3 linked regions of the Sus scrofa genome follow. The protein of the gene in region 1 interacts with the protein of each later gene in a biochemical or structural test. Links are inferred from orthologs where the notes say so. Each region holds a gene or a part of one and is shown on either strand. Other genes may lie near its edges. The genes, in order: TLN1, ITGB1 and ITGB3.

The links.
Region 2: the proteins of TLN1 (region 1) and ITGB1 form a complex in vitro, tested with the Homo sapiens proteins (3 studies listed by BioGRID and IntAct, with this or other methods). The link is inferred for Sus scrofa from reciprocal best matches to the Homo sapiens genes TLN1 and ITGB1.
Region 3: the proteins of TLN1 (region 1) and ITGB3 form a complex in vitro, tested with the Homo sapiens proteins (6 studies listed by BioGRID and IntAct, with this or other methods). The link is inferred for Sus scrofa from reciprocal best matches to the Homo sapiens genes TLN1 and ITGB3.

What each region holds. Positions count from the first base shown.
Region 1 is NC_010443.5:236,426,774-236,430,419, reverse strand, and holds part of TLN1 (talin-1), read left to right. Parts: intron 1-115; coding exon 116-209; intron 210-310; coding exon 311-400; intron 401-516; coding exon 517-639; intron 640-2,468; coding exon 2,469-2,612; intron 2,613-3,086; coding exon 3,087-3,248; intron 3,249-3,483; coding exon 3,484-3,624; intron 3,625-3,646. UniProt on the Homo sapiens protein: High molecular weight cytoskeletal protein concentrated at regions of cell-matrix and cell-cell contacts. Involved in connections of major cytoskeletal structures to the plasma membrane.
Region 2 is NC_010452.4:56,127,686-56,132,088, reverse strand, and holds the start of ITGB1 (integrin beta-1), read left to right. Parts: upstream 1-1,577; 5' UTR 1,578-1,720; intron 1,721-4,403.
Region 3 is NC_010454.4:16,714,221-16,717,866, forward strand, and holds part of ITGB3 (integrin beta-3 precursor), read right to left. Parts: intron 2,142-3,646; coding exon 2,046-2,141; intron 1,623-2,045; coding exon 1,533-1,622; intron 871-1,532; coding exon 736-870; intron 1-735. UniProt on the Homo sapiens protein: Integrin alpha-V/beta-3 (ITGAV:ITGB3) is a receptor for cytotactin, fibronectin, laminin, matrix metalloproteinase-2, osteopontin, osteomodulin, prothrombin, thrombospondin, vitronectin and von Willebrand factor.

The sequences.
Region 1 (3,646 bases):
TCCCTGGCTTAGGGGTGCTTACAGACAAAAGAGAAATAGCTAGAGACATCCCTCATGTACAAGACACAGAAATGATGACCTGTGCACCCATCCATTCCGCTTTCTGTTCCTCCAGGGCTGTGACCGACAGTATCAACCAGCTCATCACTATGTGTACCCAGCAGGCGCCAGGCCAGAAAGAGTGTGACAATGCCCTGCGGGAACTGGAGGTGGGCCCTGGAGGCCCAGATGGGGTTGCGGTTGAGGAAAGTGTTCTGGGTTCGGGGGTGACAGGGTGTCTTGGATCTCACCTCCCCCTCCCCCTCCACAGACGGTCCGGGAACTCCTAGAAAACCCAGTCCAGCCCATCAATGACATGTCCTACTTTGGCTGCCTGGACAGTGTCATGGAAAACTCAAAGGTAAGCCCAGCCAGGAACCCAGGAGAGCAGATGGCAGGAAGATGGAACTCACCAGGGGGGCTGCTCTGCCCCTCAGAGGACAGGATCTGACTCTCCTGATACCCTCTGTCCCTCAGGTACTGGGTGAGGCCATGACTGGCATCTCCCAAAATGCCAAGAACGGAAACCTGCCGGAGTTTGGAGAGGCCATCGCCACAGCCTCCAAGGCCCTTTGTGGCTTCACCGAGGCTGCTGCACAGGTTATTCTCCTGGGAGGGGCCCCCGGAATGCTCCTGCCTTCCCTGCCCCTCCACACACACACACACACACACACACACACACACACAGACAGAAAGCCCAAAGTTCCTGCCTTCCCTGCCCCTCCACACACACACACACACACACACACACACACACACACACACAGAAAGCCCAAAGTTCCTGCCTTCCCTGCCCCTCCACACACGCACACACACACACACACACACACAGAAAGCCCAAAGTTCCGCTTGCAAAGCCCACTCTGGGGTAACCAGGGTTCTTCTCCGCTCCTGAAGGAGAGAGATCTGTCAGCAGTCATAGAACACCATCAGTTCGGCCCGCCATCAACCCTGAGCCCCAGAGCTTTGGGTTATGATCACACACTCCCACAACTGGGCCTTCTCCAGCCCTGGCCTCCTTAGTGTGTGCTGATGCGCATATGCAAATCACTTCATGTAATTAATACTTGGTACCGGAGACCAAATTCCTGGTTAGTTGAGTCACCACTTAATTTTGCCTTTTTCTACACTACGGTATGAAATAATCTATTAGTGCTGAGAGTATTTTATATTGATATATGAATTTTTTTTTTTTGGTCTTTTCAGGGCTGCACCCGCAGCATATGGAGGTTTCCAGGCTAGGGGTGGAATCGGAGCTGTAGCGCCGGCCCACACCACAGCCACAGCAACGCTGGATCTGAGCCATGTCTGCGACCTATACCACAGCTCATGGCAATGCTGGATCCTTAACCCACTGAGCGAGGCCAGGGATCGAACCCACAACCTCATGGTTCCTAGTCGGATTTGTTTCTGCTGCGCCACGACGGGAACTCCCTTAATATATGAATTCCTAAACTGGCTTGAGAGTTCATCAGCTAGACTGTTTCCCTGAGAGCCTGTCATCCTGCTCTTCCAACCTCCCCTGCCTCCCTCTGCCCTGGGCTGTTGGGTGGGCCTCCTTATTTGGTTTGACTTATTTCTGGAAAAGCATGAAGAGGAAAAAGCAAAGCTACCATGTGTTGGGTGAAGTAAGAATCAAACCTTTAATCATCTTCCAGTCAAGAATTATTTTGGCGACTCTTATACCCATCCCTCCCCTCCTTCCAAATCTCTGAACCTTGGAGTTACGGTAAATGTTAATTAGCCTAACACTCTCCGTGGTTTGAGAACTGTCTCTAAAAGAGACTTGGGCGGGGGGAGGGGCTTTCGAACTTTTTTCCCTGCCCCTTGCAGTAAGCAGTATTTTTCACCTTAAGACTCAGCATACATACACATGCACACCTAAATAGAATTTTGATAAAAACCTTACTATGTGACTTTCCTTTTTAAAAAACAAAAAAAAAACTGGAGTTCCCTTCATGTCTCAGTGGTTCCGACTAGGAACCATGAGGTTGTGGGTTCGATCCCTGGCCTTGCTCAGTGGGTTAAGGATTCGGTGTTACCGTGAGCTGTAGTGTAGGTTGCAGACGTGGCTTGGATCCTGCATTGCTGTGGCTCTGGAGTAGGCTGGCAGCTACCCCTCTGACTGAACCCCTAGCCTGGGAACCTCTATATGCCGTGGGAGCAGCCCTGGAAAAGGCAAAAAGACAAAAAAAAAACCACACAAAAAAAAAAACTTTTTTAATCTTCTGAAATGTTACCATATTTAACAAAGCAGGAGAGGTTTTTTTCTTTTTTGAAATGCAAGTATAGCTTGTTGCTATACCTCCACTCACATAGAACCCTGGCCACTAAACTTGTCCCCACTCCCCTTTGTCCCCACTGTCGCTGTTCAAGTCCCACCTGAGGACTATGCCTTACTCCTCACCCCACCTCTTCTCTCTCCCCAGGCTGCCTATCTGGTTGGTGTCTCTGACCCCAACAGCCAAGCTGGACAGCAAGGGCTGGTGGAGCCCACGCAGTTTGCCCGAGCAAACCAGGCAATTCAGATGGCCTGTCAGAGTTTGGGGGAGCCTGGCTGCACCCAGGCCCAGGTAACCCAAGGGGACAGGTACTGTGGGCAAGTCTGGGAAAGGCTGCCGAGCCAGGACGGCCCAGCCCCTTGGGGGGCGCGGGTTGCTGCAGGACACGTAGGGAAGGAGAGGGCAGAGCCCCACCTCTGACTTTCCACATGCAGCTTCTCTGGCTAATTGTCTCCTCATGTTTCTCACTGTCCCTTCGGTTCCTGCCGGGTTCGGCCCTTCCCTGTGGACGTCTGAGCTCACTCTCCTCCCGAGCCTGTTAGGATTTCTCCATTAGCGTGTCAGCTTTTCATCTTCCTTCCCCCACACCCTGTTCATCCATACGTCTTCTGCCTTCCAGATCTTGACTTTTCTGGTGACTCTGTCTTTCCTAATTAGACTCCGAAGGTATTGCTCTCCATCCCCCCAAGCTAAAGGGGCCCCTCCCTGGGGTGGGCACTTCCCTCCCGCCCTCATCATGGCTCTTCCCCGTTTCTGTCTCCTCAGGTGCTCTCTGCAGCCACCATTGTGGCCAAACACACCTCCGCTCTGTGTAACAGCTGCCGCCTGGCTTCTGCTCGTACCGCCAATCCTACTGCCAAGCGCCAATTCGTACAATCGGCCAAGGAGGTGGCCAACAGCACAGCCAATCTTGTCAAGACCATCAAGGTTCCGTGTTTGAATTCTCAGCCTGTCCCTGACCTGGCCAGGCTTCCCTCCCTGGACCCGATGTCATTCCCTGAGGCCTTTTGCCAAACCCACCCGCCTGAGCCCAAGGCCTTTCCTGTCCACGCTGGTCATCACCAGCCTCTCCCCACACTCGTTAAAACCTGGAGGGAGACCCGGGCCTCACCGCCTCTGCCTACTGTCTGTCCTGAGGGCCCCCCTGTCACTCCCACTGCAGGCACTAGACGGGGCCTTCACAGAGGAGAACCGTGCCCAGTGCCGAGCAGCAACGGCCCCTCTGCTGGAGGCTGTGGACAATCTCAGCGCCTTTGCATCCAACCCTGAGTTCTCCAGCGTTCCTGCGCAGATCAGCCCTGAGGTGAGGCGGTGTGAAGGGAGAA
Region 2 (4,403 bases), on another chromosome or scaffold:
TTTTAAATTGAAGTATAGTTGATTTACGATGTTGTGTTAGTTCTCAGGGGCACAATGAAGTGATTCAGTTATGTTACATGTTAAATATATGTTCTTTCTTGGATTCTTTTCCGTTATAGGTAGGTTACTACAAGTTATTGAATATAGCTCCCTGTGCTATAAGTAGGAAAATTGTTGTTCATCTGTTTTGTATATAGTAGTATGTACATATTAATCCCCAACTCCTAATTTATCCCTTCCCCCACCCTTAACTATAGGATTATTTTCTGAGTCTGGTTTGTTTTGAAACCAAGTCCATTTGTATCCTCTTTCAGATTACACAAATAGGGAAACATGATTTAGTCCGTTAACTTTGGTCATCTATTAAACGGGAAAAATCATTCCCATTTCTTTAGAGGTTCCCAGAGATTACCTAACCAACAGATTTGATTTTGCTGGTAAGCAATGAACAAAGTTTCCATAGATGGGATTGTGTGAGCTTCTTTTAAGGTTGGCAGCTAAATGGGCATCGCGGCTTCTAATCTCCCCCAAATGAAACACTACTTCTCCATTTCACAAATCTCATAATTCGAGTTCTATTCCCAACAGGGTGCTCCAGCTCACCACGTGGCGAAGCACATTTTCTGCTAACAGGATGGCAGCCTGCCAGCAGCATAGTCAAAGTGACTGGGTTTCAGTATGATGCCGGTTGGCACAGGTTTCATTCCTCTGATTAAGAAGTGCCCAGCCTTGCTCATAATGAAATGTTTCTCTTCTCGTGTTTTAAACGTCCCTTCTTCTGCAGCCCCCCAGCCCACCTACTAAAAAAACTGAGGATAAACGGAAACCGTATCAAGGAGGAAACTTCCTTCTCATCCGCGTTCCCCATAAACGGACGTCCAGATTAACCTAACAAAAGCTGCTCTCCAATTTACTTTTTCTCTAAAACTTTTCTCTTTCTGGGTCCCCATCTCCTCCCTAAGTCTCCCCCTTTCTCAAAGACGTAAGTCAGGCAAATCCTCACGCCAGAAAAATACTGGCTTTAGCTCCTTCCCTTCCAAAAGGAAAACGTCTTGGGCCCCAGGAAGCCCTGCAAGGTGCGTGATTAAGTGTCTTGATTTGCGGGAGTCTCCGGCGGCTCCCTGGAGGCAAGGCTTCCAAGGTTCAAAACCAGGCAGTCCCGGGCAGGACAGACGTGCGGCCTTAGGAAAGCAGCACCTAAGACAAGGCAGGAAGAAGGCTCCAGAACTTCTCACGGGAGGAGATTAAGGCGCGCTGGGCGGCGCAGACCCTTCCTCCCTGGGCAGCTAAGGAAACTGAGGCACGGCGAACGCTGCGGCAGAGACCCCCACCACCGGCGCCCGGCAGGCCCGCTCCTTTGTCCCAGCGGCCGCCCTCCCCGCCCCTCCTCCACCTCCCACCCCGCGTCCCTCCCCCACCCCCGCCGCGCGGGCGCGGCTGACGCCGCCCGGCAGGAATGCGCTTCCGGAGGGAGAGGGCGGCGGCGGCGGCCTGAGGAGCTGGATTGCCGCGCGGAGGAGGCGGTGCCGCGGGGGTCGTTTCCTGCCAGGAGGCGGCCCCGCGTCGCCGAGTCTCCTCCTCCCGCCCGCGAAGGAGGAGGAGCTGCCGCCGCCGCGCCCGCGCCGCAGCCGGGGAGGCCACGCCAGCCCTCGGACAGGCCGAGCGGGAGTCGCGGAGCGCTGGTGGAGCCGACCGCGCGGGCCGGGCGCCGCGGGAGAAGGTGGGCGCGGGCGGGCGGCGGGCTGGGTGCGCTGCCGGCCCGGGGCCCCGGGGCGCGCGTGGGGGCCGCGGCCTGGGGGCGGATTCCAGCCGTCGGGCGGGGGAGGAAGTCGGGCCGCGCCCGCTCCCGGCTTCGCTCTCCGACTGTCCGGCCGGGGGAGGTGGAGGGTGCGGGCCGGCCCAGGACGCTGTCCGCGGGAGGCCGCGCTTGCGGAGGCCCGGGGCCAGGATCCGCCGCTCGGACACCCGCTGTGGGCGCCACCCCGCCGGCTGGGCGCCGACAGGCCTTCGCGGGCCGGCGTCCTGGGAGCGGCCTCGGCCCCGCCGCCTTACGCGGCGGGTCGCGCGGGTGCCGGGCCTCCGCGCGGGGACAGCTCCGCCTCGGCTCCAGCTCTCCGGCGTTGCTCGGAGAAGGGGCGCGGGGTCGGGCGTCCTGTGGGCCCCTTTCCCCCCGAGGCTGGTTGTGGGCGGCGGTGCGAAGGGCTAACCCCAGCCGCTGCCTGATTCGTGCGGTTGCTTAGGCTTCATAACAAGTCGTATTTTTAAGAATGCCAGTATTTAATGCCCAAGTAATTCTTGTTTTATCGGATGTGTGTTTTGGATCAAAATCTAGCGCTGGTTGGTTTGGTCCCTAGTAAATTAGACTCTTTAAGGTTCCATTTCCTCTGCTGTAAAATGGGAGCAATACCGACACTAATAAGAAAACGTAATTGTTATAATAACGGCATAAGTGAGGGCCATGCTTAGCTCTACACACTTCACCTGTATTTTCTCGTTTAACCCTGGATCTGAGCCGACCAGGTATATGCTGTTTTTATCCCTGTTTTCCAATTGAAACCGACACACCAGGAGCCTGGGTGATCATCCAGCTGTAGTGAGGAGAACCCATGGGGTCTAGCAGACGTTGTTTGAACCACAAGTAACCTTGCATAAGTACCGTGTAGTGAAAAGCTAATGGAAAATGGAAAACACTTAGCTTAGAGTAGATGCTCAATAAATATCAACTCCTTTTCGTTCCTTCTTGTTTTTTTTTTTTTTTAAAGTATGCCTGTAGTTGATAGCATCATTAGTAAGGCGTTTTGGAGTCTGCGTTCCACATAAATATTTAGGGGAGTAGAGTTACTGGAATGTTATTTTTTATTGTTTTGGTGGTACAAAAATAACCAATGCTAAATGTTTTGATGAGGCATCTTTCTTCAACTGCATGCAGCCTTTCCAACAGGTTGCATAAATAGACCACTTGAGAAATGATTAAGGGATTTTAGTTGCAAGTTACCTATTCTAAGTCTGTGAATATCAAGGCCATAGGGAGGGTCAGGGCTTATTTAAGAGTCCTACTGTAATGTTCATATTTGAAAATAATTTTAGTCCCTTGTTTAATAATAAATGAGTGAAGAGGATTAATAAATAGAAAACACGTGAAACAAATCAGTGTTCTGGTTATAGATGTCTGAGGAGACAAGACATTTTACTCACCCTAAAATTCAGTATAAAATGGAAGATGTTAGAATGCTAGTTTAAAAGATAGGGGATGTGGTTAATACTTTACTTCTGTAAATAGAAAACAAACTCCAAATCAAGTCATCTGTGTTGAGGTCACAGACCTAAACATTTAAGCTTTTGTAATGTTGATTCCTTTTAGAAGAATGTTAAAAAATACTCTATATTAAGATTGTTTTATAATCCCGTCAACATCCTGCATGTGAAAAGAATCGAATCAGCAATACTGAAAATCACTGGATTCAGGTGGCTTTTTCCTCAGTTTTCTGGTCGGTATAATTAAAAGCTGCCCCAAATTAGCATCACATGTATTTCTTTAATGGGGTGGATGAATTCCTAACTCCTGGAGGGACTCTGGGGCTGTAAATAGTGAAAATCAGTTTAAGGTGGTGCTAGTTTTCATGGAATGATGGCCACTTAGTAGCTTTATTGTTTGGTTTCTTGCCAAATTGTGGCTTCTATCATCAAGGGGTAATATTCTATCTGAAGGAAATATATGTTTTTAATTATTTCACAAGGACACTGGTTTGTTCTCTGCTGGAATGATGAGAGGACACATCTCTCTGGTAAAAGTTTCAGAACTTTTGAGTTCTGAGAATGGACATTTCTGAATGTGTAAGAAATTGAATTAGTTATCTGAGAGGATTCATAGGGACTGATTGCCCCACTCTGGATGGAGAGGTAGGATCTGTCTGGTTGTGAGTAGATTCCTAGAAGATCATATTGTGCACGTAGGTAAATGTCTTGTTGTATTAGCAGGTCTACTCTGACTGTGATGTGTTGTGGGGTTTTTGTCCTTTTATATTGTTGCACAGGTGGGGGTATTGGGGTAGGGAGGATGCGCCGACAGGCGTGAGAGTAGGGAAGAGTATATTAGTCTTTAGAACCTGAAATGATAGCAGCATCTATAGCTGTAGAAAACTGCATACATTAAGAGTATGTATCTAGGCTAAAGGAAGTGCAATCCCTATAAACCCCAGCCTTAGAATATTTCAATAGATGAGTGAAAAAATGTAGTATATCTTTTTCAGAAGATGTATGCAAAAGGAGCCAAGCTATACTTTGTGAATTTCTCATCTTTTTTTAAGACTAATTATCTTACACAGAGTTAAGTTTTATATATAAAATAAAAGTCAACTGCCTTAAAGCTGTATTTTTGGTTTGTGGCTTTAGAAGACAAGGTT
Region 3 (3,646 bases), on another chromosome or scaffold:
TTTCATCGCTTGTGCAATCGAATAACATTTCATCGCTTGTGCAATCGAATACATTTCAGGCCACTATCTCTTGCTAGGGTGAGTGCACACGTACCTAGAATGTATAGACGGAAGGATGGATAGATGATGACAGAAATATAGACAGAGATGATATAAATCATATAACTATAGATAGCCCCCTTTTTTCTTCCCACTCCCTTCACCATCCCCTCTCCTCTAAGGCAGGAGCAGAAGAAAACCAACCACTAAGAAAGGAAAGCCACAGAGGGACTGGACATTTGTATTCTGATATTCCATGAAGGTGGGTATTTTTGCCTATTCCATTTGCTGCCAAATCATCAGCAGCTAGAACAATGCCTGGCACAAAGTCGGTGCTCACTAAGTATTTAGAGGACCCTGTCATTTTATGCTGTGAAGCAAAGAAATATACTGCAGGGGGTGCAGTGCTGGAGACTGGTTGCAGGGTGAAAGTAAGAAATATTTTCATTTGCAATCAATGGTGCATAAATAGAGGTAATGTAAACACAAGTTTTTCAAAATCCTGAAGTTACTTAATGATAGAGAAGAATTAGGCAATAGAAGCCTCAGAGGAGAAGGCTGGCAGCTTTACCACATCTAACTTGTAAGGATGTCCAGGAAGAAGGTACAGGGAAGGAATGGGTGGGTACCCATGGACACTCCAGGGCACAGGGAGGGTTAAAGCTGCAGCTTTAGCCCCCACCCAGCCCACCTCACCGTGTCTCCAATCTTGAGTCCAACACAAGACTTAAGGCCTGGGATGACCTCGTTGTTGAGACAGGTGGCATTGAAGGATAACGACAGCTCCTCAGGGAGGTCACGCACTTCGAGCTCCACTTTAGAGCGGATTTTCTGATCAGAAAAGGGCAAGAGAAGATAAGAAAATGGGCTGAGATGAAATGAGTAGGAGCCAATTCCATCTCAAGCAAAACCTGCCAGGTGGTCCTAGACTCACCTGTCACGCCCGGTGCTGAGGTTCACCTAGAAGCTGCCAGAGCTTCCCTGGGACCCTATTTCCTGCTCTATTTCCTGCCCAGGACCTGCTCTTTCTCCACTTGTGTCTAGATGAATCTGGGTAAAATCTAAAGCAGCTATGCCCTCCTGCAGGCCTCAGGGTCATGCAAGACTGGAGTGCTAACACTGGTCACCTTGGAAAGTAGCACTTTCTACATAATTTTTAATCGACCTCGCATTCCCCGTGGTTCAGCTGCCTTCTTTCTCTATTGCTGGAGCCCAGCTCTCCCTCACTCTGTACCTCACCTGCCCCATCCACTTTCCCTTCCACCTTCCCTAAGCCCTTCCTCCTTTGTTCCGAAGGCTCCCTGGCACTCCTTTCTGAGCCGTTTCTGTCTCAGAAGGCTGCCTTCCTCCCAGTGCTGGTTATCACATGGCCTCTAGAAGAACAAAAGGAAGGCAGGGAAGGCTGCGTGGTGGACTCTCAAATCTGAGCCCTCCAGGGTAACACCAAGTAAAAAGGACTCTTAGCAGGCCTATTCCTGGCATAAGACACTTACGCCATAAGCATCCACAATGAGCTGGAGGACATTGCTGGAATTGGAGGACAGCACCCCCACTGTGGTCCCTGGGATCAGTTCACTGTAGTTCTAGAAAGGAAGACAAAGATGTCCGGGGATGACGGATGAAGGTAGTGGTCTCCAAAAGCCCTCCCCAAATCAGACTGAGGGTCTTGAAATGAAAATTGAGGAAAAGGGAGGATGTTTTACTTGTCACTGCTAGGAATAAATCTAGCAGTTTTTCAGCCCTGAGAAAAATTACAGAGAACCTCTCTCTCACACACATACACACACACTCTCACCCACCCACCAAATTACTTCCCTCCACCACTGCAAACAGCAATACCCCCACCCTGCTAGGTTCAAGGTTCGAGAAGAGAGGCCACCAGGAGGAATTATCAGCTCCTGGATCTTTTCTGGTTGGGTACCATGGCCGAAGCTACTGTGAACTGGTTCCCTGAGACAGGTCCACCCATCACAGGCCCCACTCCCGCTCCAGGAGGGCAAAGTCACCTGGTAAAGACTAACTACACCTTCTGTCACTGCAAAGATCAAATTGATGTTTTTCTGGGATAGCTTCTCAGTTATCAGCCCCAGAGAGGGATAATCCTGTAAAAAGGGAGGGTGTGGAGGTTAGTTAAGACGTCTCTTCACATACATCCCTGAATTCTTAGGTCTTAGCTAATATGAGCTGTGGCTCAGACCATGGTAAGGCTTAAACTTGTTCACCCATAATCAGCGTGACGCAAACACAAAGTAAGTAAGTTGTGAACTCCAGAGATAAATGAAGAGGTACAGGCTGGTGGTGCCAAAACTAAGCACCTTCTTCTTACTTGAATTTGATGCATTCACACCAAGAGCAGCTTCTGTGGGCCAGGTGCTGCCAGGCCACATTGTTTTGAAGCTTCCTTCTGTTTTGCAGCTACTGACAAATTCCCTGGCTTGGTGCTCGCAATCCTCTGTCATGCGATCTCAACCTTCCTTTCCAATCATTCACCTCTCTCCCCCTTCCACTTACCACTCAGCTGGCCCACTTTCATCCTCCCACCTGGAGTGGGCTTTTTGCTAATCTTCCTCCTTCCTTAGGACCCAGCTCAGGTCCCACCTTCTCCAGGAGGCCTTCCCAGTTCCATCCCAGTTCATGATGAGCTTTCCTCCTTAAAATACCTAAAGCCCTTACTAACTTCTCTACCCAGTTAGCATTAACCATGCATCTTGTGTTACTGGTACCACATCTTGTGTTACTGGTACCACATCTCAACTAAACCAAAAACTCTCTAAGGCTGGGAACCTTATATAGTGTCTTTATCTGCCTCATCCCCTGGCAAGGCCCTGCATAGACAAGGTGTCAATGATTATGGACTCATCCATTGCCTAGTTGTACTCAACTTGGATATGGCTGACACCAAGGAACTCAAGCCACAGTGGGAATGCTGGTGAACTGTGAACATGTCCCTAAGATCCTGGACCTTGTAGGGGACTCATGAGATCATCCAGCTCAGACTCCTGCCTTTACACAGGTGTACCTTTAAGCTACCTAGATGAAGTAGCTGCTACACTGTCTTTAAAAGACAAAGTGATAGGGATGGAGTAGGCACAGGTGGTTGTAGAAGTCCCAATAGGGGATCGCAGATAAAGAGGGAAACCTGGGGGATGCTGGGAGACCACTATAAGTTCAAGAAAGCCACCAGAACAAGGCAGGCTTGCTTGACTAGTGGAGGTGCAAGAATTGCCTCAGGTCGTTGGGTGGGGGAGGGATGAGGCCTGCATTCTGATTCAAACCAAGGGCAAGAGTTTGAGGACCGCCCTTCAGCTGATTTGAATACACACCTTACTGGATACTAAGGAGGAGCTACTACTCCCAACAAGGAAGAGGTGGGCCTTTCCAACACCCCACTCCCCTTGGATTATAAAACTGCAACCCATGAGATCCTGGGGGCAGAGCTTCCTTGCCTACCTGCATGCATCTCTTACAAGTATCCTATCTTAAAAAATCTGTTTCTTGCCTATCACTTTGTCTCTTGCTGAATTCCTTCTGCACTGAGGCATAAAGAACCTGAACCTTATTGAGTCCAGACACGGTGTAAGTAACTCAAATTTAAAACTATGGGTTT